4 linked regions of the Notamacropus eugenii genome follow. The protein of the gene in region 4 purifies or fractionates together with the protein of the main gene of each other region. This does not show direct contact. Links are inferred from orthologs where the notes say so. Each region holds a gene or a part of one and is shown on either strand. Other genes may lie near its edges.

What was found.
Region 1: the proteins of NXF1 (region 4) and RANGAP1 purify together in Homo sapiens (co-immunoprecipitation; 3 studies listed by BioGRID and IntAct, with this or other methods). This does not show direct contact. The link is inferred for Notamacropus eugenii from reciprocal best matches to the Homo sapiens genes NXF1 and RANGAP1.
Region 2: the proteins of NXF1 (region 4) and XPO1 purify together in Homo sapiens (affinity purification with mass spectrometry; 3 studies listed by BioGRID and IntAct, with this or other methods). This does not show direct contact. The link is inferred for Notamacropus eugenii from reciprocal best matches to the Homo sapiens genes NXF1 and XPO1.
Region 3: the proteins of NXF1 (region 4) and SRSF7 purify together in Homo sapiens (affinity purification with western blotting; 3 studies listed by BioGRID and IntAct, with this or other methods). This does not show direct contact. The link is inferred for Notamacropus eugenii from reciprocal best matches to the Homo sapiens genes NXF1 and SRSF7.

Annotation. Positions count from the first base shown.
Region 1 is NC_092874.1:300,353,758-300,361,391, forward strand, and holds the start of RANGAP1 (ran GTPase-activating protein 1), read right to left. Parts: upstream 3,061-7,634; 5' UTR 2,948-3,060; intron 2,759-2,947; exon of another isoform or gene 2,626-2,758; intron 1,745-2,625; exon of another isoform or gene 1,666-1,744; intron 467-1,665; exon of another isoform or gene 334-466; intron 197-333; exon of another isoform or gene 194-196; 5' UTR 160-193; coding exon 48-159; intron 1-47. Other genes in the region: uncharacterized protein, read left to right, coding at 4,424-4,430. UniProt on the Homo sapiens protein: GTPase activator for RAN. Converts cytoplasmic GTP-bound RAN to GDP-bound RAN, which is essential for RAN-mediated nuclear import and export. Mediates dissociation of cargo from nuclear export complexes containing XPO1, RAN and RANBP2 after nuclear export.
Region 2 is NC_092872.1:643,247,684-643,254,838, reverse strand, and holds the start of XPO1 (exportin-1), read right to left. Parts: upstream 3,046-7,155; 5' UTR 2,292-3,045; intron 1,859-2,291; exon of another isoform or gene 1,651-1,858; intron 1-1,650. UniProt on the Homo sapiens protein: Mediates the nuclear export of cellular proteins (cargos) bearing a leucine-rich nuclear export signal (NES) and of RNAs.
Region 3 is NC_092872.1:672,757,420-672,765,058, reverse strand, and holds the start of SRSF7 (serine/arginine-rich splicing factor 7), read right to left. Parts: upstream 3,020-7,639; 5' UTR 2,935-3,019; coding exon 2,907-2,934; intron 1,971-2,906; coding exon 1,790-1,970; intron 1,677-1,789; coding exon 1,500-1,676; intron 612-1,499; coding exon 537-611; intron 443-536; coding exon 335-442; intron 1-334.
Region 4 is NC_092873.1:15,879,513-15,886,610, forward strand, and holds the start of NXF1 (nuclear RNA export factor 1), read right to left. Parts: upstream 3,019-7,098; 5' UTR 2,898-3,018; coding exon 2,870-2,897; intron 1-2,869.

The sequences.
Region 1 (7,634 bases), on a different chromosome or scaffold from region 4:
GGCTGAGGGGGTACAATGTTGAAGGTTGGGGAGGGGTAGGGTCTCACCATCTTCTGCCGTATTGAGTTTGAGGCTTTTGCCTTTGAAGCTGAGCTGTCCTCCGCCCACCTGGGTTCTGGCCAGGCTTTCGGCGAGCTTGGCAATATCCTCAGATGCCATGGTCTCAGCTGCTTTGTTAAGCTTCCTCCCCAGGCTGCTGAGAAAGGCACCATCCCTCATCATCAAAGCCATTCCACTTGTTTGCTATTTCACAATCCCCATAATGCCTTGGTGAGATCTCCAGGGCCTCACTAAAGCCAGGGATCAACAGGAAGAATAAGGGTGTTTGCTTGCCTCAGGTCCCAGCTGAGAAACAGCAAAGTCAGGTTTGAAGCCCAGGCTGGAAGATCCCAAAGCCAGGGCTTTGGCCATATTGTCCCCAGGGCAGGGGCTGGAGGATGTTAAACATGAAAGACACAGCCTCTCCCTGAAGCAAGAAACATTTATTAAGCACCTACTACATTGAGTACAGTCCTGAGGGAAAACCCAAAGTACAGGCAAGAGCTGGTCCCTGCCAGCAAAATATGTGTCTGGCAAGAGGGGTGAGACACCAACTTGGTGGCTGGAATATATGTTCTCATGACACATTACAGACTTATGCCATGTAAGGTTGAAAAGGGGCGGTCGCAAGTGACTGGGTGCAGAGGGAGCATTTAGAGGGAAAAGTCTCTCGAATGGTCCCAGGGCTCCAAGGGACCTTGAGGGCCATTGGGTCCAAATCCCTTGTTTCGTGGGCAATGTAATGGAGGCCCCAGGGTAGTAATGAAATGAAGAAAGGAGGAGGGATCCAGATCTGGCCCCCATGTGCAGGCCAGTGGTCTGTCTGCTGGGGAAGGCTTCAGCAGCCCCTCTTCCAGATGTGAGCATCCAGCTCCTACTGAGATGTGCCTCAAACAGCAGGTTTTTACACAGGTTGAAACCCTGGGCAAAGGGGAGTTCTGTCTGGCCTGACCCAATGAAAGGGCAAGGCAGACAAGCTCTGCCCTTTGCTCCCAGGCCCTCAGTTCCTGCTGCCCCCTGACTCTACCAGCTGGGACAAAACGGACAGAACCATGGGATTTCCTTAATTTGGAGTTGTCAGCAGGGCTGCAGATCCAGGAGAACATAATGTAAACAGGACTAGTGACTGGCTGTCCTGGGTCAATCTCCTACTGCCCTCCCCCAAATGGGCAGAGTGATTAAAGCGATCCATCCAGGGAGAAACCCAGTGCCTGCACTGGCTTGTCTAGGGTGGTGGGAAGGGGTAGGTGGGAAGAAAGGGATTGTCACCTAAAGACTGAAGGTTCAAACTCAGAACCAGTTATCCTCATCAAGAGCTAAAGGCAGGAAGCAGGGGCTCCTAGGAGACAGCAGACTCTACATCACAATAGGCTGGCCTACTACTGCGGGACAAAGACCACCCCACCCCCTCCAAGGGCAGGGCAGCCCAGAAAGAACCCCCAAGTTGAGGGCATAAGCCTGTAGAAAGCCTTGATGGGGGGGGGGCACAGACTGGTGAAAGATAACTGTTGTCTTGGGGTACCACCCTCTCTAGGGGACACAAAATAGAAACCCGATGGGGGTTTTAAATGACACCTCTATCCTGAGGTGAGGGAAGGTCAGGTGGCGCAGGAGAGGTTTGAGTACCTGGGTGGAAATTAGGGCAACATTGGATTCTGAAGCAGAAAGCTTCAGATTACAGAAGTAATCAGTAACATTCACATGTCTGTGGGGAAAGAAAGCTAGATTTTAGAGAGAAAATTGGATGTGGGTTCAAATCCCAAGACCCAGCTATGGAACAGTGACCAGCAGGTTCCTGTCAGGGCCTGATTTCTGGTTGTGGGACATTTACTGTGGCCCCCCTTCCAGCTCCAAGTTCTGCCCAGTCCTAAGGGATGGGTTTCTACCTAAAGCCCTGTGGCACACCTTGAGGGCTCACCCTCAGAGAACCATCCACAGGCGCCTTCCTTCCCAGAGTACCAGGGCTCAGGGCAAGGTGAGGAGACGTCCCCCGCAGGGCGCCCCTTTCTCCCCTGCTGTGGGCGGCAGGAACCCTCGGAAGGCAGCTCCTTGGAGGCCTGAGCAGAGCCGGCCCCAGGCACTGTCCGAGGTGCTGGGGGGCCTGTCCACAGGGGCTTGCGTGTGGGTGGGCCGGGGCGGTGCGGGGCCCTGCGGGGAGGCCAGGTCCGGCTCGGACGGGCCCCTCGGGGTCTCCTCCCATATCAGGACCTCGGCCAGGCCTCCTAAGCGGGCCCCGGGGTTCTCCGGTACAAGGTGGGGGCTGTGGTCTGGGTCCCCCCTCCTCCACTGATCTCTACACCATGTGACCACCTGGGACGAGGGTCAGCGGGGCGGGGTCCTCCCTGGTCTCGGTCTCTTCCTTGAGCCTAGAGCTCTCCCCACCCCCTCCGAGGCTCCGGCCCCCGAACGGCCGGCCCCCCGACTGCGCGCTGGGCCTCAGCTTCCCCCGCTGTAAAAAGCGGAGCTGAGCCACGTGATGCTCCGAATCGCTACGCCGCTCCCCCTCCGGGCCTCAGTTTCCCCATCTGCAGCCCTCCTCCCTCCGCTTTCTGCCCGCAGGGGCCCCGCGGGAGTCGCCGGACTTACGTGCGCGCGGGCGGGAGAGCTACGGGCGCCTCGTGCAGCGGCGGCCTCGGACCTCGCGCTGGACGCCCTCCTGCGCACGCGCAAGGCTTCTCCGGGAAGAGGGAGGGGGAGAGGAGAAGGGGGGGTCCGCGCGCTGGGGGGAAGGGGGAGGGGATCAAACGCGGGAGCCGAGGGGCGTGCGGGCGACGGCGGCGGAGGCGGTGGCGTAACGCGGCGTCACGATAGGCCGGTGACCGACGGCCGCCCACCCTCCTCGCTCGCTCCCTCCCTCCCGCTCCTCGGGCGCGCGCACCAAGCCTCCCCCGCACAAACGCACACTCACACGCGTCTCGCCCCGGTCTCCGCAAACAGCCCCTGCGCCTCGGGGCCGCCGATCGATGATGGCGGCGAGGGAGAATTTTTGAAAGCCGGCAGTTTCTTTCCTGCGATCTGATTTGCTCAGGCTCTCTCCGCCGGGCGTTTTTTCCTCCAACTTGTCGGGGGAGCCGGGAAGTGTAGTTCCGTCCCTTCGGCTCGCCCTAGGAGCCGCACCGCTTTCTGACTACACTACCCATAGAGCCGTGCGCGCCACAAACCGGCTTTCCTCCCTTCCCATTCCCGCGAGATCATCGACCCGAATCGGACTGGCTCGTGGGCTGGGCGAGGAGACTACCATTCCCGAGATGCGCCTCGCCGCTTTCGGTCCTGGCAACGGCAGACTGTCAACAACTTTATTTAAAATTGGACGGACAAAACCCCAGCACCGGGGCTCCCTCTAGTGCCTTCAATTCCTTAAAGCAGGGATGGGGGCTTTGGCTCTGTTCTGGGTCGTCCTCTGGGAGGGGGCTGCCCCCAGCCTGGGAGGAGGGGCCACGTGGAGAGCGCAGCTGCTCCGGGCGTGGTCAGAAGGAGCTGGCCCACCCCCAGGGGAAGATGATGCCCCTGATCGCTAATAGTAAAGAGATGCCCACGAAAACCACCCCGAGCTTCCATCTTGAGGCAGTCAGACTGGCAAAGGTGGCAAGACAAAATGGCGATTGTTGGGGAGGCTCGCTAATACATTGTTGGTGGAGCTGGGGTCAGGCTAGCAGTTTGGAATCCTGTTTTCCCCCTCCCCCCAAGTCACTGAACCGTTGTACGGACCCATTGACCCATCAGTTCAGAACCAAGACCAGACCTAGACCAAGGGGACCAAAGACCAGAAGGAAGGGACTGAAATCTACAAAACTATTGCAACAACTGTAGAAAAAAGATAGGGGACGACTGAACAACTGGTGGCATAGTGATGTGATGGAGGTTACTGTTAAAAGAAATAAGGACTGTGGCAGAGGAGGAGTTCGAGAAGACTCTTGTGAACTGAGACCCGGAGAAACGAACAGAACCAGGTGAACAACTTACACAATGATAGTGAAAAGAGGGGGAAAAGCCTTTGAAAGACTTCAGAACTGGGATGGCATTGATTCGGACTTAGAGGGCTGGCGGTGATGGACATGGGATGGACACCGCCTGTGTACGGCCAACTGGGGACAAGGGGTTGATTTGTTTTCCTTACTTGTTATAAGGGGGAGGGAGCTTCTTTTTGGTGGCAGGTGAGTTATTGGGTGGTGATAGAGCACTGATAAAACACTAACGAAGTGTAGAGGAAAGTGAGAAAGGAGAAACAAAACTGGCAATTTTGTTGCTACTTTGTTACGTTTGATGGTTACCTGCGTCTTGTCAAAGATTCTGGAGCGGTTTGCCATTTCCTTCTCCAATGTATCTGCATTTTACAGATGCGAAACGGAGGCAAAGAGGAGTTAAGTAACTTGGGGAGGATCGCATGGTCGGTAAGTGTCTGAAGCTGGATTTGGACGCGGATGTTCCAGACTCCAGACCCAGTGTTCTATCCACTGCACCACCTAGCTACATTTGATAACATACTTAAAAAAACCAAAACACCCCAACAAATTACATGTAACTGAAGTTCATTTTCATAGACTACACTATTGTTAGTGTTCATTGATTATTTTCATAATTTTCAAAAAAGACGTTTATCTTAATACATGTTAAGCCTGCTACGTTTCAGAGACTGCAACAAACACTGGAAATTTCAGTGGCAACAGCAAAGAAAGACAAAAATATAGTACCTGCTGTCAAGGAGGTGGAGTGGTACAAACTCTGGTGATACCAAATAGATAGAAAAGGCCTTGATGGGTTTGTCAAAAATTGGGTTGTTACAACATTGTGCTCTGGTCAACTGTAATAGACTTAGATCTTCTCAGCAGTATAATGATCCAAGACAATTCCAAAGGCTCATGATGGAAAATGCTGTCCACAGTCAGAGAAAGGACTGTGGAGTCTGAATGCAGATTGAAGCAGATTATTTTCTCTTTTTTTTCTTTCTCATGTTTTTTCCCTTATGTTCTGGTTCTTCTTTCACAATGTGGAAATGTGTTTAATATAATTGTACACGTATAACCTACATCAGATTTCTTGCCATATTGGGGAGGGGGAAGGGAAGGAAAGAAGGGAGAAAAAATGTGGAACTCAAAATCTTACAAAAATGAATGTTGCGAAAGAAAGAAAGAAAGAAAGAAAAGAAAGAAAGAAAATAAAAGCAAGCCAGGGCTGTTGAATGGGGTCCAACTGGTCAGGAACATGGCCAGTCCAGCAAATGCTTTACAGAGAAATTTCACTCACATGTGTTTCTTTTCCATGGAGATGGAAGAGTGGAGAGAATATCCTAAATGAGGGGTTTGCTTTTGAAAATTACCATCAGACACAAGAAGACTTTCTTCAGTAACAAGATAAATTGGGGTGGTTTATTTAGTTGAGTATTTAGGGGCATTCCAAAATGAGGGAACGTGCTTTCTGGAACAGGGTAGTCACCTGAACTGATTGAAATGAGTCCTTGACAAAGCTGTTTAGCCACTGTCACATTCTCTGACTGTTTCCAGGCTCCTAGATCTTCAGCCAGAAGAGACTTTGGAGGCCATCAAGGCTGGCCCCCCTCATAGACCCAGGGAGGTAGTAGTAGCTTACCCAAAGTCACCGAATCTTAGATCTGAAGCCTGTCATTTACACTGCCTAGATCTTGGACAGAGATTTTTTTTGTACTGTGATGTCTAGCATTTGCAGTTTGTATGTTGTTGGAGATGTAAGCTCTTTGAGGGCAGGAAATGCTTTTGCTGTGCCCTCAACACTGGGCACAGTACCTGGTACATAGAAGTGATTTATTAATGCTTGTTGATCAGTTGATGGAGTATGACTCCCTTCCCCTCAATTTTACAGGAAATACAAGGAGAGGAATCACATGACTTATCAAGCTTACATTGATAGTAACAGAAGTGAGATTCAAACTCAGGTCCTTTGATTTCAGAGTCACAATTCTTTCCACTGTTTCAGATGTCTCCCATATTCTGCTCTTGACCAGAAACAATTTCATTGTATAGAATACTTAACAAAGCAACAACAAAGCTCCAAAATGGGCTTAGAACCAGGCGGAAAGCAAAGAGAAGTCCCCAGGCTAAATGATGAGGTCAGCACTTCTTCTTTCCCTTTACCTCTAGGGTCTGCATTTCCTGGTCTTCAAGTGGGTAGTAACATTCTGGGCCCCTTGGGGAAGGATCCATCTATTTCTACACAGTCATGGGACCCACCAGTGGGCAGGGTAGCTGTATCTTCAGCAATTATCCAAATTCTTTAGAACAAACAGAGCCTCTCACTTCCCAGGACCACAGACTCTGGGAGCTGCAAGAGGCTTCCCAGGCCATTAGACCAAGCTGTGCCTGAAGAAGAATCTCTTCTATGACATTGGAACATGAGGTGGTTCTCTGTCTTTGCTTGAAGACTCCCAGTGAGGGGGAAGCAGAGATGTGCTGTTAAAATGTTTAACAACTGGCTCTCCAGAAGAAGAAAAAAAGCCTAACAAACCTGAGATACACTTTTAAGTTTAATTTGCATTATTAACATTTTATCCATCTTTTTATTAAGTCTAGACAATCAACAAAAACAATCAAATCCTGATTTGTGTTGTTGCTTAGTTGTTTCTGACTTATGACCCCAGCTGGGGTTTTCTTGGTAAAGATACTAGAGTGGTTTGTCATTTCCTTCTCCAGCTCATTTTACAGATGAGGAAACTGAGGCAAACAGGGTGAAGTGACTTTCCCAGGGTCACACAGCTATTAAGTGTCTGAGGCCAGATTTGAACTCTGGCCCTCATATCTCCCTTGAATCTTCTCCAGGGTGAGCATCCCCAGTTCCTTCAACTAATCCCCTTACAGCATGAGTCTGAGGCCCTTCCCCATCCTGGTGGATGACCTCTGGAGCCTTCCCATCTTCTCAGAATCCATGATACTCAGAATTGAACACGTATAGCTTGGTGGGCTGGGAGGTGGGGACCTGCATTCCAGAATTGTCTCTGGCACATCGCCTATGTGACCTTAGACAAGGTCTAAGAAACTGGACCTCAGTTGTAAAATGAGGAGTGCCTGACTGGTTTCTACAGTCCTCTCCATCTCTAAATGTAATATTTCATTTCATCCTCACAGAGCCTTTATGAGGTAGACAGGAAAGGAATTAGCCACCCTGTCAACCAACTAATAATAAGACCAGAACCCAAACCTGAGCTCAGTTGTCCTGACTCCAGCCTGCAGCCATTTCCATGACACATATGTTTCTCTTGGTGTCTGTCATTCTGTTACTATCTAGTGTTGTGACATTGAATATTTTCCTACCTGGACCTGTTTCCTCATCTGTAAAAAGAAAGAATCCAACTCCAGTTTCCCAGATGCAGTAATTTATAAGGGCCATAGATGATGAGACACCCTAGCTAGTGAATTCAAGAGGCATAGTGATTGTGGCATCATTGTCAAAAAACACTTAATAAGTGTTACTGTGTTCAAGGTGCTGTGCTAAGCGCTGGATGGGGTTCTCTACTTGGAGAAAGGAAAGCGCTGGTTCAAATCCTGCTCCAGATACTTATTAGCTATATGACCTTGAACAAGTCACTACACATCTGCCTCAATTTTCTTGTCTGTTAAAAACAAAAT
Region 2 (7,155 bases), on a different chromosome or scaffold from region 4:
AAATAGGAATGGTATAGAAATCTGGGAATTTTCACCAGCACTATCAAAGTGTAAAGCCAAAATACATTAATACTTTCATCACTGAAAAATTTGGAGATTATTTCACTGTAACTTTCTAAAACTCAAACTATAAGCAAAACCTTAAGACTGAATGGGTGGTGCTTAATTTGTATTTGATAAGCCTTAGAGTACTCACTGAAGATAGGTTCATTGTATTAGTTTCAAAGTAAAAAAATTAAGTTATGACATTTCGCTTATGTAAAATGAAAATCCTAAAGTCAATACTAAGTTTAAAAAATGCAATTTACCCTAAGACACAAAAAAGCAGAAATTATTTTTAAGACTTTCTAAAGAGATAGAACAATTTAACTACTTTCAAAACTTACTAGTCTATTAACTAGTTTACAACCAGGACATCAATTCTTAAAACCTAGGTGTTACACAACATATATTTTTAGAACACAGCACCTGTCATAAGCATAGCTACAAAATCTTGAGTCAAAAATAACTACTGACAAAAAAGAAAAATGGAAATCTCTCTCACATATGCTCTCAATGGTGTCAGTTACTCTTTCCTTTCCCAAATGTAATTTTTAAAAATTCTAAGATGAAGGGTAGCATCATTTATATTGAGAAAACAAATTCACTCATACAGAACATGAAATATACACCTCAAAAGTGGTCTTTAATTAGGACTGGATAATTAGGGAAGAAATAGTTTACGTTTTCATTTTACTTGGGTCTACTCAAGTACACCATTTGTCAATGGATGGAAGAAAATTAGTTTATAATAATATTGCTTTTTATGCAACTGAAGTGCTGCATTTTACTAGTTAGGGTGCCCCTCAATCCCCACCCCATTTTCTATCTTCTAGAGTATCCATTTCAAAGTAGTTCACCCCCCATAAGCACAGCATTGTGCCACTCTCAGTACTATACATCCAAAACGACCTACCTATTCTTAAAGTACAGAAATGGGAGCTTTGTGGTCAGTGTCAATCACTTTTGACTTCCAAAACAAAAAAAGTCCAAAAAAATTCAACTTCCTAACCATCAGTGTTTTAAACTTCCTCTCTCCATAAAAGCTTTTAAGTGTTAGTAAAACCCGGAACAAACATCCAATCGCCAGGTAAAATACCTTTTCTTGCTGCCCCCTCCACTCCAAACACCAGTTCATTAGGTTCCATTCTCCACGCGGGATTACCATTTTATCTGGTCTGTACTAGCATGCTAGTATATAGTGAGGGCTCTTCACTTCAACAGGAACAAGCCAACAGCCACCCTGCCATCCCCTAACCGTAGCTCACAGCTAACTTCACCACAGGTCAGAGACAAGTCGCTACAAGGTGTGCGGGCAGTCGCCAGCTTCATTCAGGAGAAACACGCCCTCCCCTGCTCTCCTCCGGCCTCCCACCCAGACTGACTGTGCTGCACTTCTAACTATAGAATGCCGCCAGGGGCCCTCCCCCCGCCCTCACTCGGGGAAGGTATGCAGACCAGGCGAGACCCAAGCTCAGCGCCCCAGCCCCGGGGAACGAGCCAGGGACGTGACGGCGAGCCGACCGTGGCCGAATTCAAACACCCCCGAAAGGGCTCCTGCTCTGCCCCTCTCCCTCCCACCCCCGGAAGAGGGCTGATGAAAGCACTCACACACAACGCCAGCCCTAGCAAACGCGTTTCTAGGGGTCTAACCGCGCACACGGCCATCTCCGCTCAGGACCTCCGCCACGGCCGGACACGGGCACATGCACGCGTGGACACGTCCACACACACACACGCGCGCACACGCCGGAGCAGCCCCGAGCGGGCCTGGCTCCACCGCAGCCCCTCCCTCCTCCCGATCCCAGCTCCCTCTACCAGGGGCCACGTGACGCAGGCGGACGTTTCAATGCTGCTGCTCCTGCTGCTGCACTCAGTATTTCTGGAAACTTCCACTCATAATAATTCACCGAGCCGTTCCCCACATCGCCCCGGCCGACGGGGGCAGCCCCCGGGCCCCGCGCCCCCTCCCCAAGGGCGGCAGCGGCTCGCCTCCCGCGGCCGTGCACCCCACCTCCCTCCCCTCCCACCTCCCCAGCGCTACAAGCCGTTCCATTCAATTGCAGGCACCGCACCACACCGCGGCCCGTACCCCGCTCGGGGGCCTTTCCCCCCGCCGCGCGGCGGACCGCCCCCCCGATCCTCCCACTTCACCCCACCCAGGATCTCTCCTCGATCCAGCTCGGGCTCCCGAACCCTCAGGACTACACCCCCCGACCCCCCAAGATCGCTCATTACGTGTTCCGACTTACCCAGAGATTGAACCAACTGCCTCGTCCTTCCTTGTGGGGGGCTGGGAGGGGATGAGGGAAGGTGGGGAAGGGGGAAGGAGGGGAGACGAAGGTGGGTTTCACAGTTTGCCCACCTTAAAAAAAGAGAAATTAAAAAATGAGAGGGGAGGAAAAAGGCAAAAAAAAAGCTCAATAACGTTTTACTCTTCCAGTGACGCCTCCCCCCCTCACACGCACCTCCCCCCAAAATAACGATAACGAAGCGGATGAATCAACGATCCCGCTGGGGTGGAAAAGGAGGGGCGGGGGAGGGGAGAAGGGAAGTCAGGTCCCAGAGGTTCAGCCCCAAGGGGACCCTCCGGCCAGGCAGGAGCAGCGGGGGGGGGGGGGGGGGGGGGGTCGCCGCTGAAGTCCAGTCAGGGGACGCTCAGTGCTGCCGGGTGCAGTCCGACTTCCCCCCACCACAACGCAGTGCCCTCTCTCACTCGGCTCCGGCGGCTGGGCCCCCCCAACCCGGCTCCCCTAAACTTTCTCCCCTCCTCTTCCTCCTCCGCGACTGGCGGCTCCCTCCTCCCCCTCCGGGTGCTTGCACGGCCGGCAGCAGCAAAGACGGGAGCAGGCGCCGCTGCTGGGGCTGTAGCTATTGCCGTGGAGGTTGCTGTTGCTGCTGCTGCTGCTGCTGCTCTTGCTGCCGCCGCGCCGCTTCTCCCCCTCCTAGTGCCACAAACTCGGAACCGGTTGAAACCGGTTCAGACTGGGAGATTCCATCTCGGTTGAGTTTTCAGCCCATGGCGCCGCGGAGCGTTTGGAACCTGGGCCTCCTCCCCCAGCCCGCCGGCTTATTGGTCGGAGCTAGCCACAGCCGCGCCGTCAGTCACGCAGCCATTGGCTGGCGGACCCATCAATCCCACCTAAAGCCTCCACACGAGCCCGCCGCTCAGGCCCCCGCCTCTTTCCAGCAGCGATTTGCCCGCAGAGTGGGGGAGGGGAGATAGGCCTGGTTGAGAGGGAGCCTGGGTGGGGGGGTAGTAGGCAAGGGAGAGAGGAGTGGAGCGGGGAGGACAAGGGGAAACCGCACGGGGATTGGTCACGGCTGCCTGCCAGTCAAAAGTAGCCTTCCCTCCCCCACCTCCCGCCACCTCCCCTTTCGAGGCCCTCAGGCCCCGATTTTCCTCTCTGCTCATTGGTCCGGCGCCTTTGGTGACGGAGAGGGTGGGGCGCCGCCAGTGTGCTGGTGGAAGCGCGAGTTTGATCTGGTAGCGCGCGGGCAAGTGTTCGCTCCCTCTCTCCACAGCCCCAGGTCAGCCCCGCCCCGCCCCCTCCCCGCCATCTCCCGCCCAACGTCTTGAGCCCGCCTCAGCCCTCTCGGCTGTGGGTCCCGCCCTTTGCCTGCTCCGTGGGTGGGGGCTGTAGACCAGGAGCCGGGAGAACTAATCGTTTGTAAGGGGGAGGCAGGAGGAGAGGCCTTGGGCGGCCTGGTGGGAGCGCTAGGAGCTGCCCTCCGGGGCCGAGCTGGAGCCCTTTGTGTCGGGACCTCCGAATGTAAAGCGGGCCCCGGCCGCGCTCGTCGGGCTGCTGTGCACTTGGCGGGAAGACCGCCACCAGCCCCCGGGACCGGGCCTTCCCTGCTCCGCGGGAGCTGCCCGATCGCTCGGGGTGCCTGGGAGCGGGGCGTGGAGGGGGACACGCCGAGCGCGGCTCTTAGCTCCGGCCGAGCTCCCCCGCTGCCCTCGGCGCCGAGCCTCGGGCGCCCAGCTACCTGCGGGCTGTCTGGGAGGGGCGTGAGGCGCCCGGCCCCCTGCTGCCCGCGGGCCGCCCCACGTTCTGGGACTTCAAAGGAAGCCGCGTCCGCACACGTGGGAGTGCCCGGAGCCGGGCGCTCCTCAGCCGATCTTCAGGCTCTCCTGAAACGGTTGGGTAAATAAGGAGGCGCCCCCACGGAAACTTGTTACTGAGCCCATTCTGCCACCCAGAGGTGGCGAGGGAATGAGTGTTTGTTTACGTCCGTGTGTGTGCGTGCCTGGACTTCTCTGGCGCAAGCCTTGGCTCCCTGGGCACCTGTCTGCTGAACCAGGTGGGGTCCCTCCCCCCCTTTTCCCCAGGTACACCCCCTGATCACACTGGATGACTTCTAGACCTAGATTTGAACTCGTTGTCCAACACGTGCCCGCGATGACAGAGGCACAATATCCTGAACGTTTGAGAGGTGAGGGAAAGGGTTTATTAAAGCATGTACTGACCGTTTAGTATGTGCCAGGCTCTATGAATGTCTGTGATGACAGCAGTTCTGTAGTATAGCTGCCGTTATCGTCCTCTTTTTACTGTTGAGGAAACTGAGGCAGGAACCTGCCAGAGCTGCCTCTAGACAAAATGGATCTGCCAGCCCTGGCCCTGGCCCTGGCCCGCGGACAAACCCCTCCTCCAAGAAAGGCCCTTTATCAGGCTGGGGATGTCGTGGAGGCTTGCCCAAGGAGCTGGGTCCAGCCGGCCTTCTCGCCACCAACATGGGCTGCCTGTAGAACTTCTGAAAAATTACCCCAGTGGTTTCAGATGGCTGTGAATAAGTATTCTTGCTCTTGGTGCTCCCGTATTTGGCTCATCTCTGTACGTTCCTTAACAGAAAGGAGCAGATCTGTGTGACCATAGTGATGAATCATTGCATGCAAGACACTGGGTTCATCTTGTGCCCAGCACCACCTCAAAGCAGAGCCCTGAATGCTGAATGGAAGGTCCTCCGGTGAAGACTTGTCAGTGTAACAGCTCCAGAGGGCCATTAGATAAGCACGTCTGGCTCTAGCCTTAGAGTTTGGAGGAGCCTTGCCAAGGTGAACTGTTATATCCATCTTGAGAGGGAACATAGAGATACAGCAAAAAGGCCTCCCCACGCCAACCAGGTTTGTCCATTATCCTCTTGGTAGATCAGGAGGAGCCGATGGAAGAAGCCATAGATTTGGAATCTGTGATTTCTTACCTGTGTGACCTGGTAATCACTTAAGCTCCCTGGGCCTCAGTGTCTTCATTTGTCAAATGAATGGATTGAACTAGTTAACCTCCGAGGTTCCTTCCAGCTATAGTTATCATCGCAGTGTTTTAAAGATTATACTTGAATATTGAATATTTAGTTTAGGAAACTAGGTGGTGCAGTGAAAAGGATTGTTGTTTGTCCTTTCCCAGAAGAGGACCATGATATCAGGGAGGTTAATGCCATGACATACTAGTGAAATGGATTTAAGTGAGGGAGGGCTGTGCAAAGTCACCAGCCTCACTTTCTCCTCTGGAGCCTTGTGGGTCTAGTGGCCAGATAGAGATCAGAACAATGGGAGATGACCAAGGATGCAGTGGGGGACCTAGACCTTTTCAAGCTAAGGGCTTTAACAGGTCTCAGTTTGACTGGGTCAACACCCATTCAGTGACTAAGCCTTAATAAGAATCGGGGCAGAGAACAGTATAGAGCATTAGACTTGGAGTCAGAACAGACCTGTGTTCAAATCCACCCTCAGAAGCGTACTAGCTGTGTGACCTGGGCAAGTCATTTAACCTCGAGCCACGCTTTTCTCACCTACTTCCCAGGGTTGATTTGAGGGAAAAAATGAGATATTTGTAAAAATACTTCATAAACCTTATGTTATATAAATACTAGCTATTATCATCCTTTCCAAAAGCAGTGATTTCTTTGGTCCTGTAGTTCATTTTACCTCATTTACTTCCTAAAGTAAAACATTTTTCCTGCTACTCTGTTGATCATGTGAGGAAAAAGCTTTGTGGCCCAGTGGATTGAGCACCAGGCCTGGAGTCAGGAGGACCTGAGTTCAAATCCAGTCTCAGACTCTTACTAGCTGTGTGACTCTGGGCAAGTCAGTTAAACTCTGTTTGCCTTAAGCCACTGGAGAAGGAAAGGGCAAATCACTCCAATATTTTTGCCAAGAAAGGACAGTATGGTCCACAGGGTCACAAAGAGTTGGACGTAACTGAACAGCAACAAAAAATTGATCATATGTGTATGTGTATGTAGAGAGACATATGCAATGTATACATCTATGTGAGTATTGTGTATATGTGTATATATATGTGTGTGTATTAATACTTGTAGATAGCATCCTAAAGCCTGTCACCCCAGTTAATGTGAGGAACAAGATGCTCTATGCCTTAGTAGCTTTATCAGGAGAGTGTCAGGATCAGTCAAAGGTATAAACTAGGTAGGAATAAGTTCTTAGATAATTAGTAAAATACTTGAGTCATTGAATGAGAGCAGATGATGCTTCATAGGAAATGTCTTGTGGTTGGTTGAAGTTGGCTAAAATAGCAAACCAGGTCAGAATCTGGCTTTCCTATAACTGATCGGACTAATAGTAGAACAACTACAGCTGAGCATCAGAGAGGGAATCTCTTAGGGGGTAGGTAAGGAGGAATTTCTGCATTTTCTCCCCTCCTCTTGATCAGAGGAAAACTTTGTGACTTTGGAAGGGTTGGAAGATTTGAACATCTGTATTGGTAGCGGCGTTCCTGGAACAGCAGTGGCTGATGGCAGTATGTGCTTCAGGAGTCAAGGAAGAACTAGAGAATACTGAGGAAATGCAACTACAGGACTGTACAAGAGCACCTACCATCAGAGTCCAGCAGAGAAGCACATATCCCAAAGGGAAACTTCTTGAGAACTCTATGAAAGGAGAAAAGGAATTCCAAAAATCAAGAGCTGTGAGTTAACCCTTTCTCTCATGTTCTCTAAACTAGAGCCCACTCTCCCCAGGGATTTGTGTGTGCCAGAGGAGAGTGTGCCTTAGCCTGGGGGTGGGGGGATGGGAGTTATTTGGGTCTAAATCTTCCTTTCTCTATCTGCTTAGTAAATACTCCTTTCTGAAAGCTAATTAAGTCGAACATAATCAAA
Region 3 (7,639 bases), on a different chromosome or scaffold from region 4:
CAATATCACAAATGTAGAGTACCTTACAAAGCACTCTAAGTTTGGTATTGGGGAGGGGGAAATCAGATTTCCCCAGTAAGGAACATAGAGGAGGGAAGATGATACAGAGTACACTGGATCTGAAATTAAGAGAATCTGGAATTCCATTCTTGGCTCTGCTGCAGGACCTGGATGGTCCTTTAGGTTTTGAAGTTCTGACTCTAAATTTATGATTCTACAACTAATTCACTCTCCTCCCTATTTTTTTAAAAATCAAGATCAAGCAAAATGGGACTTTTTAAATCCCAAAAGAACACAGTTTTTATCTAGTTAAACATAATAAAATTCAACATACTGGAAATACCTCGATCTTTTTAAAGAACCAGATCGAGATCGGATCGAAGCAGACCTAGATCTACGAAGAGATGCAGATCTTGACCTTCGAGGAGATGCAGACCTTGACCTGCAAAAAGAAATTTTTTTTAAGTCAACCACTGCAAGAAACGAACACTGTCTGTAACGAAAATTTTTTTTGAAAAATATAAACAAGAGCCTACCTCCTGCCACGGCTCCTGCTGCGTGAGCGAGAATATCGCCTTCCTCTGGACCTTGAGTGAGATCGAGATCGTGACCTATTTTCAAGTTAGAGAAAACAAGTGTTAGATTTTAAAATTCCATCTTTTCTTTACTAATGTTTGTGTACCTCTGCTGAAATCAAATTTCAGACAACTATTTAAAACAGTGTCTGTCAGTTGGAAATAAACTCAGGGCCTATTAACTGTCGAGTATTTTTTTTTTTTTACTACCTAGAAAAGATTTGTTAAAAGCTGAATTACATTTCAGAATTACATAATATAAAACACTATAATGTGTATTTAAAATAAACCTTGCAAGTTTGCAGGTCGACCCTCTTTGGCCCAAGGTCTAGCAGATCTAGACGATCTAGAAGTATCTATAGCCGATCGCTGCATCTAGAAGTTTTCTTCAATCTAACGACGATCAAACTGACAGCCAAATGAGCCAGGTGAGGCTTGATTGACGCAAGAAGATTTTTCTAGGTGGGAATGTGGTCAATCTGGTGTTCCTCTTTCTAAACCGGAGGGGGGCCCCAATTGAAAGCCAAATTTACTGTTACGGCGATCACCGTCTCAAATTTTCTGCCCTTTAAAGAATAAAGTGAAGCTAGGTGTAGATGGCTCGAGGGGATCTGGCCTCTTATGCTGATCACCTCAAGGTCTAGGAGGATCTTAATTGTCGGATTTGCAAGGCGCCTCAGCATGATATCTTAAGGCTCGTGACATTCTGAATCAAGGCGACTGACTCAAACGAAGAAACCTGAAAGGTTTTGACCAGGTTGATTATTAATATATTAACATTTTTAAAATTAAACACAAACTGTAAAATACACCTGACAATTAACACATAAAAAGTTTATAGAAAAAAATAGTATTTTCTTCTTTGCTAACAAAAGAATTACATGATTAACCGTTACCAACCGCTCCTTTTTTCCAAATAAATACCTGCTTCTCCTCCGTCGGCTGTAACGATGACAATCATAAGCATAATGACCTTTCTCCCCACACTCATAACATCTATCATTAGGATCAAATGGGCGACGTGCAGGTGGTCTATCATATCTAGATCTTCGAGGCATTCCTGTTGACAATTCGACTCTCACCCGAGAGCCACAAATCACCCTGGAAAAATTGGATCAACGCATGTAACGTCAAAAATGTACAGGTACATCCTAACGTGTTTGTTGTCCAGACTAATTATATGGGAACTCTGAGACATCAAATTCTATACATACTTTCCATCCAGTCCTCGAACTGCATCTTCTGCGTCTCTTGGATCTTCAAATTCCACAAAAGCAAATCCTGGAGGATTTCTGGCAATCCATACGGTTCTTAAGGGACCATAGTAACTAAAAGCTCTTTCTAACTCTCCTTTGCCGGCACCGGTACCCAGGTTACCAACATACACTTTGGTCTCTGCCAGAAGAAACAGAAAAGACTGCACGTTAGCAGGACCTCAATCCAACTTAAAATTGAGCCACATCATAACGGGCAAGGCTGCCGTAAGCAGGGTTCTAGACGACAGAACAGGTTTTGCATTTTTTTTAAGTTGTCTCTAAGACGTTTAAACTTTTTTTAGCCTTACTACCTCAAACGCGCCGACGTTTTCTTTTGTCCTTTCCGGCAACACAATTAAGCGTGGCGCTCGCTTGCCGGGAAGCCCCAGGGCCGAGCTCGGGCACAAAGGTAGGGAGGAGCCCCGAGCTCCGCCCCCCCTCGGCCCGGGGAGCGGAACGGGAGCCGGAGCGGCTCCGGGGCGGCAGGGCCCGGCCCCAGCTCTGCGCCGCGGCAGGGCGAGGCCCCAAGCAGGCCTGGGGCAGAGGCGGCCTCGGGCCGGCGCGCGGGGCACTTCCCCAACTCCCACGCCGCCGCCGCAGCGGCAGCGGCACCGCGCGCTCCCCTCCCCCACCGGCCCTAACCCGGTCTGGGGGGCGCGGGCCGGCCGGCCGGGCACTGTAAGGGGGAGGGGGAGGCGAAGGCCCCGGGACCTGCGCCACGAAGAGGGGCAGCGTGCGCAAAATGGCAGCCACCTTCTCCCGCCGCCAGCGGCGCGAAAGGGGGGTAGCGGCTACGTACAGGCCGGGAAGGTCTGCCGCAGCACGGCGGAACGCAGGAGCCGCTCCGGCGGGGTCTTCCCACACAGACAGGCCCGCGCTCCGAGGTTTTCCCTCGACGCCTCCCCTCCCCCCACCCCCCCACTATGGCTCCGTATGGCGCCAAGACGAGGTCCGCCATTACGCACGAGGAACAACCGTCTCCCAACAGCCGCCAGCCTGAGCCCGCCTCGGGTCGCGCTGCCCAGCCCGTGACCCGTCCCATCCCCTTCCCTCGTTTCTCTCTCCGGCCTCCTACCTCCTCCGTACCGCCCGTAACGCGACATGGTGTCCGGCCTGGGGGCTCGCAGCGCTTCGCAATGACCCGGCCTAGGTCGAGACACTGTCTACCTCCGCTCGGCGGTTAGAGCAACTCCCGGGTCCGTAGCTCCTGGAGTTGAATTTATATACCAGGGCCCCTCCTCCTCGGCCGTACGCGTGCGTCATGTCGTCATCACGCGCCACACAAAGGCGCGAGGCGGAAACGGTAGAGAAGCGACACGGAAGGAGCTCGAACGCCGTGGGGGCTGGGATCCCAGGCGGCGGGGGGATTTGTTGTCATGGGAACACCGGGCTCCTCCGCGCTCGCTCCGCCTCTAGCCTGCGCTTTCCTCGCCCTTTCCTGCCCAACCCTCTTCCCGCCTTCCTTCACTCTCCTCCCCTTCCTTTCCCTCCCCTCTTCTCTCCTCCCCTCCCTCCCAGGTCCGGGACCCCGGGGCTGGGGTCATGTGTCTAGTGCAGCTGGAGCGCCCCAACACGAGACAGTAAAGCGTAGCCGCCGAGACTTCCGACGCCGGCCTCCAGAGAGGTCATCTCCCAATCGATGAGTCGGCAGCCTGAGCCAGGGTGAGGAGGAGACCTCCCCCCACGCACCCCCGCCCGCGGCGAGAGCAATCACCGCCCCCCCCCCCCCCGCCCCTTCCAGTGTAGAGCCCGGAGGCCAGGACCCGAACCTCCCCTCCCCTCCCCCAGCCTTTGCTGGAGGACCTCCGGGGAGAGGCAGCCGCTTCCCAGCGCTAGATCCGGCGTTTCTGTTTGGGGGACTCGTATTCCTCGCACCTCTCCCTCCCTCTGCCTTGCTGTTTATCCTCTCTAAGCCCCACTTGCACCGCCCCTGTTTCTAACCCCAAAATGGGCTTGTCTGCAGTCGCTCGCCACCCCTTGCCCCCGGGCTTGTTATCTCTCAATCCTAAGAGCATCTTAACCCTCTTGGTGCCCTGGACGGACCCGGTCCCACAATAAGACACACAGAATGACCGAGGACACCTGTTACGTAGAAATAAGGAAGTCATTTTTATTGGTCACCCAAGTTCACAGACCTCCCACGGCTTGAACTGTTGCTCCCGTGGCAGGATGCCCAGACGGGGGGGAGGGGAGTGCGCAGAAGGAAGTCCAGTCCGTGGTCACCTGGCGTTCTCCGGGGCATCCTACGGTGTGTAGTAGGAGGGATCTAACTTTGGGGAAACAGACAGAAGCGCTGCCAACCCCAGGCCCCAGGCCGTGTCCTGATCCTCGGTCCTCCATCCAGGAGGACTGACCGTGTCCACCTAGGAGCGTTGTAACAGCGCACGTTGAAAGTGCACGTGGGTTTCTCCGCGCTAGCCCCGGTTAGCGGACGAGATCCTGACGTCCCCGCATCTGCAGCCCCACCACCCATTCTCCCCAATTAAGAACGCCTCCCCAGCCGCCGGAATTGTCCCACAACTCCTGATCAGGAATGTACGGGGATAGGTTCTGAAGGATTTAGAATACAGGAAAAAAACTAAACTTCTAGCGAGTTACCAAAGGGTGAAAGTCTGATGGTCTGGGTAAACTACGGGAACATAGATGGTGCTCATTTTCATGGAGACTTAAAAGTTTTTCTGCTTACCTGCTTAATGAAGTTTTTGGTAAGGATTAATCTAATATTTGTAGAATGTTTCTCATATTTTCTGGGAAAGAAGAGTTGTAAATACAACAAAACCTTATTAATTTGGACAGTGAGAACTAGGTGGCCAAAGTCCTCCTAGGGATCCAGATTTTACCGGTGCTACTTAACTGCCTATAGGACTTTTGGCAAATTATTTAATTTCTTTGGGCTTCAGTTTCCTGATCTGTAAGATGTGGGGTTTAGACTAGATGACCTCTTGTCCAGCTCTGAATTCCTAGGATTTCACTGAGCTTTGTACTGAGTAGATTTAGGGAAAGGGTAAAAGATAATTCCTAGGCTTCAAACCTGGGTAATTGGAAGGATGGTGGTGGAGTGACAGAAATAGAAGTTAGGAGGATGCATGAGTGAGTTTATGAAAATGATAAATCCTCTGAGACAAAGAGTGAGGAGAGGTCAGGACTTATCCCTGGGGCCCTACTGACCCCTCTGGAGATGCCAAGGGGGAGTGGTCAGACAGGTAAGAATAAAACCAGGAAGGAACAGTGGGGTGACAACTCATTACCAACATACTGATAATGTTTAATATAAAATTTTGGAATAATCTCTTTGTTCTCTCTGAAGTAAACTCAGAGAATGCCTCTTCCTATGTCAGCAAAAGCCAGCCAAGGCTGACTCTACATTCCTTAAGGAGACCTTTAACCTAAGACACTATATCTTGAATAATGGGACTTTCCTTTGTATCTTACTATGTTATGGCATATTAATGGTAAAGAAAATATAGACATCTTAGGTCGTAATTTCTATTGAACATAGTTTACCCTTTCCTATGTCAATTATCTGTTTAGGGGAGTGCTGGGAATGGAATTACTAGTGGTGGAATTTCTTTCCTTATCACCGAGACATATGCTTACCCAGTCTGGAATCTCAAGGCCTGACTGACATTGCTTTGTTAATTGTCCTGTCTTCCTGAAGTTATGATTTGCTTAATTAGGAGAGTTTCTTTCTCATGGCAAAATGTACTTAAGACAGATGATTTCTGTACTAGGTAGTCAGAGTCACCTCTGACTCCATAGCGCTATGTAACTTTTCTTTATGGGGAACTGATCAATTAATTAATTAAATCATAAAATGTATGCATTTAGCCTGTTGCCTTTTCTCTAACCAAGTTTTCAGGTCAACAATACTAACTGTGAAAGTTGGTTTACAAGTCTAGTCTAATAGTTAAATGGAGAATCCAACACACCCCCAATTAAAAAACCAAAGAAAATATGAGCTCACACTGACCACACCTTTCTGTCAGGTGTATGAGTTCAAATCAAAATAGACCTGTGTGTTGAAGATTTTTCTAGCTTGTCTAAAGAAAAAGGCAAATTTCTCCAGACTAGGATTTGAATTGGTGACTTGATTATACTCTGTAAATAAAAATAGGTATTTTATGTTGATCACTATGGTTCCTTTCAGCTCTAAAATTCCATAATTCCAAGTTTTTGCATTAATATTGTCTTTGCCAACAGAGACTATCTTCAATTTTTACTCTTAGGTGTTTTGATTAATAATACATAGGTGAAACCATAAAGCATGCAATATTTCATTTACTGGGAATGAAAGTCATTGAAACTGTATAGTCTTCTAAAAAATATTTGTGTCATCTGATTACTTTGCTCTCCTAATAAAAAGTTTATCATTTTAGAAAGTAACTATTCCAAGCATCAGCAAATACATTTTTATGGTAAATAACTGAGTTACCTCAGATCAGTTAGCTAGATTATGACTACATTTACTCTTTAAGTTAAATATTACAAGGAACAATATACATAGCAACATTTTGTGTACATGTTAAATCTTATCTTGCAGTGTGGAAAGTACAGAAAATGTAGTAACGAAGCTCTGTTCATAACCTTTCAGCCCCGGAGACAAAGTCAAATATGCACAAGGTATACCTCTTGTCTATTAAATTTTTTCCATACTTGAAAAAACTTTTCTCATATCAGATTTGATAATTGATAACTCTTATGTGGTAATTACTGACACTGGGAGGCAATAACTTTCCTTAATTTAGGACAAATCAGAGTACCTTGGCCTGTGCTTTGGCAGATTTCTTAGGGGAGAGTAGGAGGCTAAAAAAGAATTAGCCTCTTCTGCTAAAATGGAATTAGATTTTTGCCTCTAAAACTCCTCCCCCTCTGGCACAAATCCAAAACCCGGAGGATGCTTGTCCTATTATGATTCCCAAAACAATTAAATTCTTTTTAACAAAGGGTTTATTAAGTACCTGCTACATCGGAGGCCCTTAATCAATGCTTACCTGATGATGGTGATACAAAAACAAAAACCAGTTTCTACTCTAAGGAGTTTACATTTCCTGAGTGAGATACTATGTAAACAGCTAAGTAAATACAAGATAATTTGAGGTAGGGCTGTAAGAACTGAGGAAGCAGGACAGACTTCACAGAGGTGAAAGGGAAGCTGATGTACTCCAGGCACAAGGTCAGACTGTATAAAGATAGTTTGCTGCTGTTGCTGACTTAGAGAAAATTGAACTGTGGGCTTTGCACCCATAGCCCTCACCATTTTTTTACATAAATTAAATCAGGCTAAAATGAACATCAGAGTCAGCCACAAATGGAGAAAGGAAGCACCAAAGAGAAGCATGGCCCTAAATGTCTAGCACTTGACTTCAGTGATGATTGAGGTTGGGATTTGTTTCTAGATGGATTTTAAGTATCCACCTCCTCCTCTCCCAGAAACCCTGTCCCAAATCACTGCCACTTGCACTACCCAGTAGGAAAAGAGCTTCTCAGAGTTTGTATAAGGCCACTGCCCTATACTTATTAGTCATATTTGTAATTATCACCCCTGAGATTTGAAAAAGAATCCTTCCACTAACCTTTCATGCACTTTTCATGCAAAGACTTATTGATAGAGCTGGACTTAGATGATCTTCAGTGCCTCATCCAATTCTAAATTTATGATCCTAAAGAATTATAAATCAATCTCTTCCTTCTCCCAACTTACCTATTTTGTTCATAGTGCCACTATTCTTCAACCAGGTTTGACTTTTTCCACTTAAATTTATTCACCTTTTCCTTTAAAATGCTAGCACCTTAACTGAGACCTCACCT
Region 4 (7,098 bases):
GTTCTAGAGCAGGAGAACGTGGTTTTCAAAATTTAATCTGGAGTCACAAGGATGGTTCAAGGCAAGGTGGAAAAAGCTGTCTCCTTCAGTCTAGTCCTCACCAGGCACTTCCTCTAGGCTACTGTGGGAGGGTCCCCTCAGGTTTATTTCCACCTGCCGGACACCTTAACATTCCCTCTATTTCCATTTTCTCCTCAGCCCTGGTGGACCTCACAGAGCATGATTTTGGGGGGGGAGAATGAGTCTCCTGCTGTCTTGCCCACTCACAGGCCTCAGGCCTCCTGGGCTACCCTTCCAGGGTCTGCCACACTGGGGTGCGCCATATCAGAATCTCTACAGGGGCATACCTCTGTGAATGGGGCCCTGCTGCCTCACACAGAATTTTTCAAGTTCCCTTCCCTAGTAACTTCTCATCTGCCCCCTAAGTGCGGCTTTTCTCCAAAGGGCTGATCCCATGGATTCCCAAGGCTTCAGTTTTATTTTTATGTAGATGATTCCCAAAACCTGACTTCCACCCCAAGCACTTCTCCCAATTCCACATTTTTAAAAATGAAATCTTCATGTTCCCCTAAGATTCTGCCTCTCTAGCTTTAAGAAGCCAGGCACACAAGCACTCTCTGTTGGCAGACCCATGAATTAGCTCAACCACTCTGGAAAGCATTTGAAATTATGCTAAAAAAGTGCTATTCTTTGCACTTCAAAGAGGTCAGAGACAGAAAGGCTCTATATTTCAAATATTCATAGCAGCCCCTGTGAGCGCTGGAGGCAAGAGAGGATCCATGGAGGGCCAGCCAAACAAACTACAGGGAGGAAGGGAAAAGAATATGACAGCACTGTAAGAAACAATGAATATAAAGGTGGAGAAAGTCTGACCAGTGCACCAGGAATCATATACACAATGACAAGCACCCACAACCCTGCACCCTGTGTAATCACAAGGACCTTCTGAAGAGGTGAGAAAGCATGCCCCACTGAACAAGTGGGGGGGGGGGGCGGTCACAGGGGCTAGACTCTGCCAGACAGAAGTGGCAGACCTGGCTGGGAAGAACTGCTTTTTGTATTCTTTGTTAGGAGGGATGGCTCTATGTGAAGGAGAGGGGGGGAATTACTTGATGAAAAAACAAGTGTCCATAAATATAACAAAAATGGGTCTCTCACACAAGTGTTTGTTTACGGTATGACTTCTCTTAGGTACTTAACATTTTAATTCCTCTTAGAGTTATTCCTGTACATGTTTCATCTGCAGAGGTAGGCATAGATGGAGTTTTAGAGAAGATGACTCAAAGGCCCCAGGTCACTCAGATGCTGTCATTCCAGTCAGTGCCAGCTTGGAGGGAGGAGTGCCCTCGGTTCCCCCCCCGCCCCAGGTTCACACACCCACTCCCCTCCACGGCTTTCTTTCCATTCATTCAGCAGCCAGCTTCGCTTGGCCATCACTGCTAACCTCACCTCCTCACTGGCCTCTAGGTCTCCAGTCTCTCCTCTCTCTCATCATCCTCCCAAGGCCCTGAAACTCAAGGCTAACCAAGATGCCCCTGCCATGCTGGCATAGGCCCCTGTCACTAAGACTTTCAGGATCAAGGCAAACTCCTTTGCCCCGTATTAGACCTGAGACACTTCCTAGCATGTGACCCTGGGTAAGGCCCTTCCTGCTGCCTGCCTTAGTTTCCTCACCTCAAACTGGAGCCAACAGCAGCATGTGCCCACCAGGAAGAGTGGAAGTCAAAGATCAGCTCAGGACATAGCGCTAGCTCAAGCCTGGGGAACCTTCGGCCTGGAGGTCACATGTGGCCCTCTAGGTCCTCCAGTGCGGCTCTCTGACTGAACCCAAACTTCACAGAGCAAATCCCCCCAATAAAAGAACTGTTCAGAAGGCCGCACCCAAGGACGCCGAAGGCCCCAAGTGGCCTCAAGAATGTTAATTATCTAGGTGGCTGTTCACAACTGGCCCAGCTTACAGCAGGCTTCTCCCTCCCTGCTGCCCCGTGGTCCTGCGCTGGCTGCCACACCTGCCCACCCCTGGAAGGCCCAACTCGCCGGCCCCCTCCCTCAGCCCCTCCACCGCAGTGACTCCCCGGAGCCCGCCCTGATGCCACCAGCCAAGCCCCGTGCGGGCACAGATGCCCATGCCTGAGCAGACCCTCTGGAGGACCCCCTGCGCCCCGAGTTCCAACGGCACCCAGCCCGCGTGCCCGCCCCCTCCCGTCCCTGGGCGGGCAGGGAGGGGCCCTTTGTCACTCGGGCTGGCCCCTGGAGGTGGGCAGGTCTCACGCAGCCCCGGCCAGGCGCGCCCACAAACGCTAAGGGACCCCTCGCAACAACTTCCCTTCGGGGGCCACAGGAAGGGCGTGTCCGGGGCCCCTGAGGGGGCCGGACCACAGAAAACACGGCCTCGACCCCAGGCGTGGCCGCCCTCCCGGTGGCGCCGGCTTCTGGGAGTTTGGCACGTGGGGGAAACTGAGTCACCGAGGTCTGACTACGCGGCTGGCAGGGCCACGGCCTGGGGGGACCCGCAGACGCCCCCCTCCTGGTATAAACGAAGGGGTCCCGCGCCAGGGCCGCCCCTCCCCCAGCCCGGACCCACCCGGGAGGAGGCACTCAGCGGGGGGGAGGGGGGAAGGAGGGGGCCTCGAGACCTACGGTTACTGCGGCCCGGCCCCGAGCCCGCCGCGCGCGCCCCCGCCCCGCCGGGCGCGCCCCCGCCGCCTCAGGGGCGCCATTCGCGGCTCGAGGCGCGCCCCCGCCGCCCGCACCCAGCGCTCCACCGACCCGGCGGGCCCAGGGCCTCGGCCTCGTCCCCGTCTCCCCCAGGCCTGGCCCCTTCCCACGGCCCGCGGCCGCCGCCTGCGGCCCGGGCCCTGGCACTCACCGATGTACGATTTGCCGTCGTCCGCCATGACGAGCCGGGGAACGCCGGACACCGGCTCTGACAAACGACGAAGCCCCTCGGCGCTCCGCACAGCGCCTGCGCCTCAGAGCGAGCCACCGCACCCCCTTCCCCTCCCCCCCGACGCGCCTGCGCACGCCCCCGCCCCAGCCGGCCTCCACGCGCCGCGAGGCTGGCGCTGAGCCGCGAGGCGGAGCCGGACGCAACAATGGAGCTGGGGCACGCCACGCCTGCGCACACGGCCGCGCGGCCAGCGAACGAGATGCCTCTGCGCCTGCGCGTCCCGCTGGGACAGGCTGGGCTGGCGCGGCCTCCGGCCCCTCCTCCCAGGCCCCTCCTCCCAGGCCCCGCCCCCCAGGCCCCGCCCCGCCCCCGACTTCCCCGGCGCCTAGTCCCAAGCTCGCGGGTTAGGGCTGCGGGGCCCCCGAGGCAGCGGAGGCCTCTCGATCCCTTCCCCGTCAGTCCCCATGCACCTAGTAAGCGCCTACTGCGTGCCCAGTAGCCGCCCAGCGGCGGGATTACAAAGGCAGGAGTGACATTGGGCCAGCAGTCAGGGAACTTGGCCGGAGGCAGCGGGGCGCTCTGGGCCCCGGGTCCGGAAGCCCGGGGGTGACTCCGGGCACGTGCCATCCCCGCGGCGTGCCCCAGTCAGCGATGATCACGTGGGCACCTGCGGGCGTTCCTGTATGTTGTGACCGGGGCCACGCAGGACGGGGGACACGCGGGGGTCCCCGAGTCCGGAAGCGGGTGTGCCAGGTTGTCACCGTGAGGCAGGCGCTGGGGGGTGCAGCTGGGCAGACCTGGCGATCCAGGGGGCGGGGCTGGGGGCCAGCCCTGCCCCAGGACGCGCCTCCCGCGGCTCCGCAGCCCCCGCTGTACAGCCTCCGCTTGGGGTCTCCTCCAGGGTAGGAACGGTCTTTTTAGCTTAGCACATAGTAGGCATTTAATGTTTATTGACTTTAATGGGGCAGCCAGGAGGTGCAGTGGATAGAGCCCCGGTGCAGGAGTCGGGAGGACCGGAGTTCAAACCTCACCTCGGACGCTGGACGCTCGCTAGCTGTGTGACCTTGGCCAAGTCACTTAACCCCAACTGCCTCCTCCTGGGTCATCTCCGGTCATCCTGAGGAATATCTGGTCCCTGGATTCCCATGGCTCTGGAGGAGAAGTGAGGCTGGTGACTGGCACAGCCCTCCGTCACTCAGAACAAAGTCAAGTGCAAGTCATGTCACCATTTCTCTGATGGCATGGTCTTCTTTGGCAACAAAGGACGAACACACATTGAATTTAATGGAACTGGAAGGTCAATAGTGCACTCACCAGGATGTTTTTGTGCGGGGGGGGGGGGGGGGGAATTAGAGCTTATAAGTCATTTTGGACATTTGGAAATATTTAATAGGCAGCTGGCGATGTGCTATTGGAGCTCCTAAGAGAAACCCAGTCCTCGGATCTAGTAGACCTGCCTTAAGCTGACTGTGCAAAGAAATGTAGATCTCAGAGGTTGACAAGGTTACTTTTTGTACCCAGAGGAGGGCCCAAATGGAGCCTTGGGGGTCAGATATTGATAATGGTCCAGCCAAGGACACTTGACAAGGAGGGGTCAGGCAGGCAGACCAAAAGTCACCAACCTAGAGAGGAGGCGGATCCAGGAAAAGGGGCTAAAGTGGCAGTAAAGATGGGATAAGGATGGAGAAAAAGGTCTCTGGCAATTAGTTTTGTTTTTGTTTTTTGAGAAAGCATTTTCTGGGGATGAGGTTGGAAGCCTGATGGGAAAAGGGACAGGAGAGGAAAAGGGATGGAGCATGTGTGTAGGTGGCAAGGAGAGGGATGAGGGGGATGATCTGCTGGCCTTGGTGAGAAGGTCCACCTCTCCAAAAAGGGAATGAGGAAGGATGTCAAAGGGTCTGGTGACTTTGAGAAGGGGAGTGCTCAGGGTCATTTGTGATGTGGACCTGGTGTGGGAGGGCTCTGGTGGAGAGGGGACTGAGGGCCAATGAAAGGACAGCAGCTTCTCTGAAGAGATTCTGTCTTTTGGGTTGCTCCCCACCCACCCAGTAGCACCAGGAAAGGATGCTAGCAAGCAGAGGTTGGGTTTTCTGGGGAGGAGCAGGGCCCGAGAGCTGAGCAGCTTAAAGATGGGCTTTTGATTGGGAGCCAGAGGACAGGTAGCCCCGAAATTGCTGAAGTGGGGGAGAGATGGAATAGCACAGGGAGAACAACACAGAGGGGGTAGTCTGGCACAGGAAGAAAGCAAACCAACATTGTGCCCACTGTGTGCTGTACCAAGGACTTTAGGAACAGCCTATTATCCCCCATTTTAAGACCAAGGAAATCGAGGCAGACAGGTGGTCACATGTCTAGTAAGTATCTGAGGCCAGATTTGAACTGGGGTCTTCATGATTCTAGGCCTTTCCCTCTATCCCTGCCGACAAATTATAATCAGATAAAGGAATTTCAGAGTTCCTGATTAGGGAAGTGGGTCACTTGTTGGGGGTGGGGGTGGGGGGTGGCCAGATCGAAGTGGAGTAGTAGACTGAGGAACTGGGTGGCCAGGGTATTTGTGGGAACATCACCTAATCCAAGAGCAGGGGTTGGGAAGGAGGGGGAGAGGAGGGTCAGACCCTCAAAGTCTCCACAAAGGAGGGAGAATGGATGGAGCGGGGATGTGCACAGACAGCAACAAGAACTTGGCCCGAGTGACGGATTTGGATTCATTCAGCAGAACTCAGCTGAGAACTGGCTGAGGGGAAAGTGGCCAAGTAGAAATGGAATTGATCAGTGCTACAAAGATGGGAAGGGAAATGTATGTTTCAGCAAGATCTGGGGAAGAGCTGGAGAGGAAGAGATCTACATAAAATAAAGGGAGGAGAAATGAAGGAGCAGATTCCAGAGGGCACCACAGATGGGGCTGGGGAGGGGCCTGGGGCCAGCACATAATACATGTATGTTGATCGATCGATCAGTTAGAGATGAGAGAACAGGAAGGGTGGGTAGGGTTGGTTGGCCTGAGACAGCGGCCTACCCAGTATCACTGGACCTAGTAGGGTGAGTGGTAGTTGGGGTGGCTGGGAAGCCAAGAACCTCACCAGGTGATTGGACTTAGGGTCAAATGAGGAAATGTGCTGTGCAAACTTAAGCACTATAGAAATGTGTTTTTATTGACTTGCTAAGGTCACAGAGGTAGCACCCCGCCCCCACCCTGATCACAGTTCCTCCACCAGCCATCCTCCCCACAAAGGAGTCCCAGCCTTCCCAGGCTTTTCCCAGAGCTGGTTCTCTCTGCTAAGGCCCAAAGCCTTGGCTAGACCTGGATACTCTACAGGGCTCCTCCTTCAGAGCACAGGAACCTGTGTTAACAACGGTCTCACTAGGATCAAAGTCGTTGCCTCTCAGCAGGTGACCAGAGATCCAAAGCCTGTCTGGGCAGGGAGCATTTCCAATGAACTTCCTAATAAATCTGATTGTTTAGACAGACCAGACCAGGAGGCTCAGCAGGTTCTTGCTAACCCAGGATCTAGGTGGCAGACAGCAGACTGGCCACAGGGCATCTTCCAGGAGCAGAGGTTCCCTGAAGGCCAACCTGTTTCTTCTAGGCTGGTGTGCTTCATCCACAGCAGCAATCTGAGAAATGACTCCTACAGCTCCCAGACTGCGCAGCTGCCAAGGCTGCCAAGATGGATAATCCCTGGCAGTGGGCAGACTATGGATGGAAGATTCAGTCTCAAGACAGGGGTGGCCTTGGGAAGAGTATTCTTGGAATGCTGGTTGGGGCTGAGACTGCTGCTACAGGCCCACTGTCTGCCTTCCTGGCCTATGCTGCCCCCTCTTTGCAGGCTCCCTCACTGCCTGAGATGATGCCTGAGGGGACAGTGTGATCCCTAGAAGCCTCCCTGGACCTTGAGGGGAGGATCATGAGCCCCTGGCACCCTCTGCCTCCCACCCAAAAGCACAGGCAGCAGACAAGGAAGCCAAGATGACCGATTCCAAGTCTACTTGTAGCTATGAGCTCAGATTCTCCCATTTTCTCCCCTGGCTACTGCTGGAGCAGGGCCATAGCAGGATACACCAAGGGGCAAGGCGAGTCCTCAGTCTGTCAGAGGCAGCACCCCCAGTTTCCTGGGGTCACTATTGCCATGGGAGGCCAGGCCAACCCCTAAGACGCCCCTCCCTGAAATGAGGACAAGGCGGAAAGGGCTGACCATCTTGCTGTAATT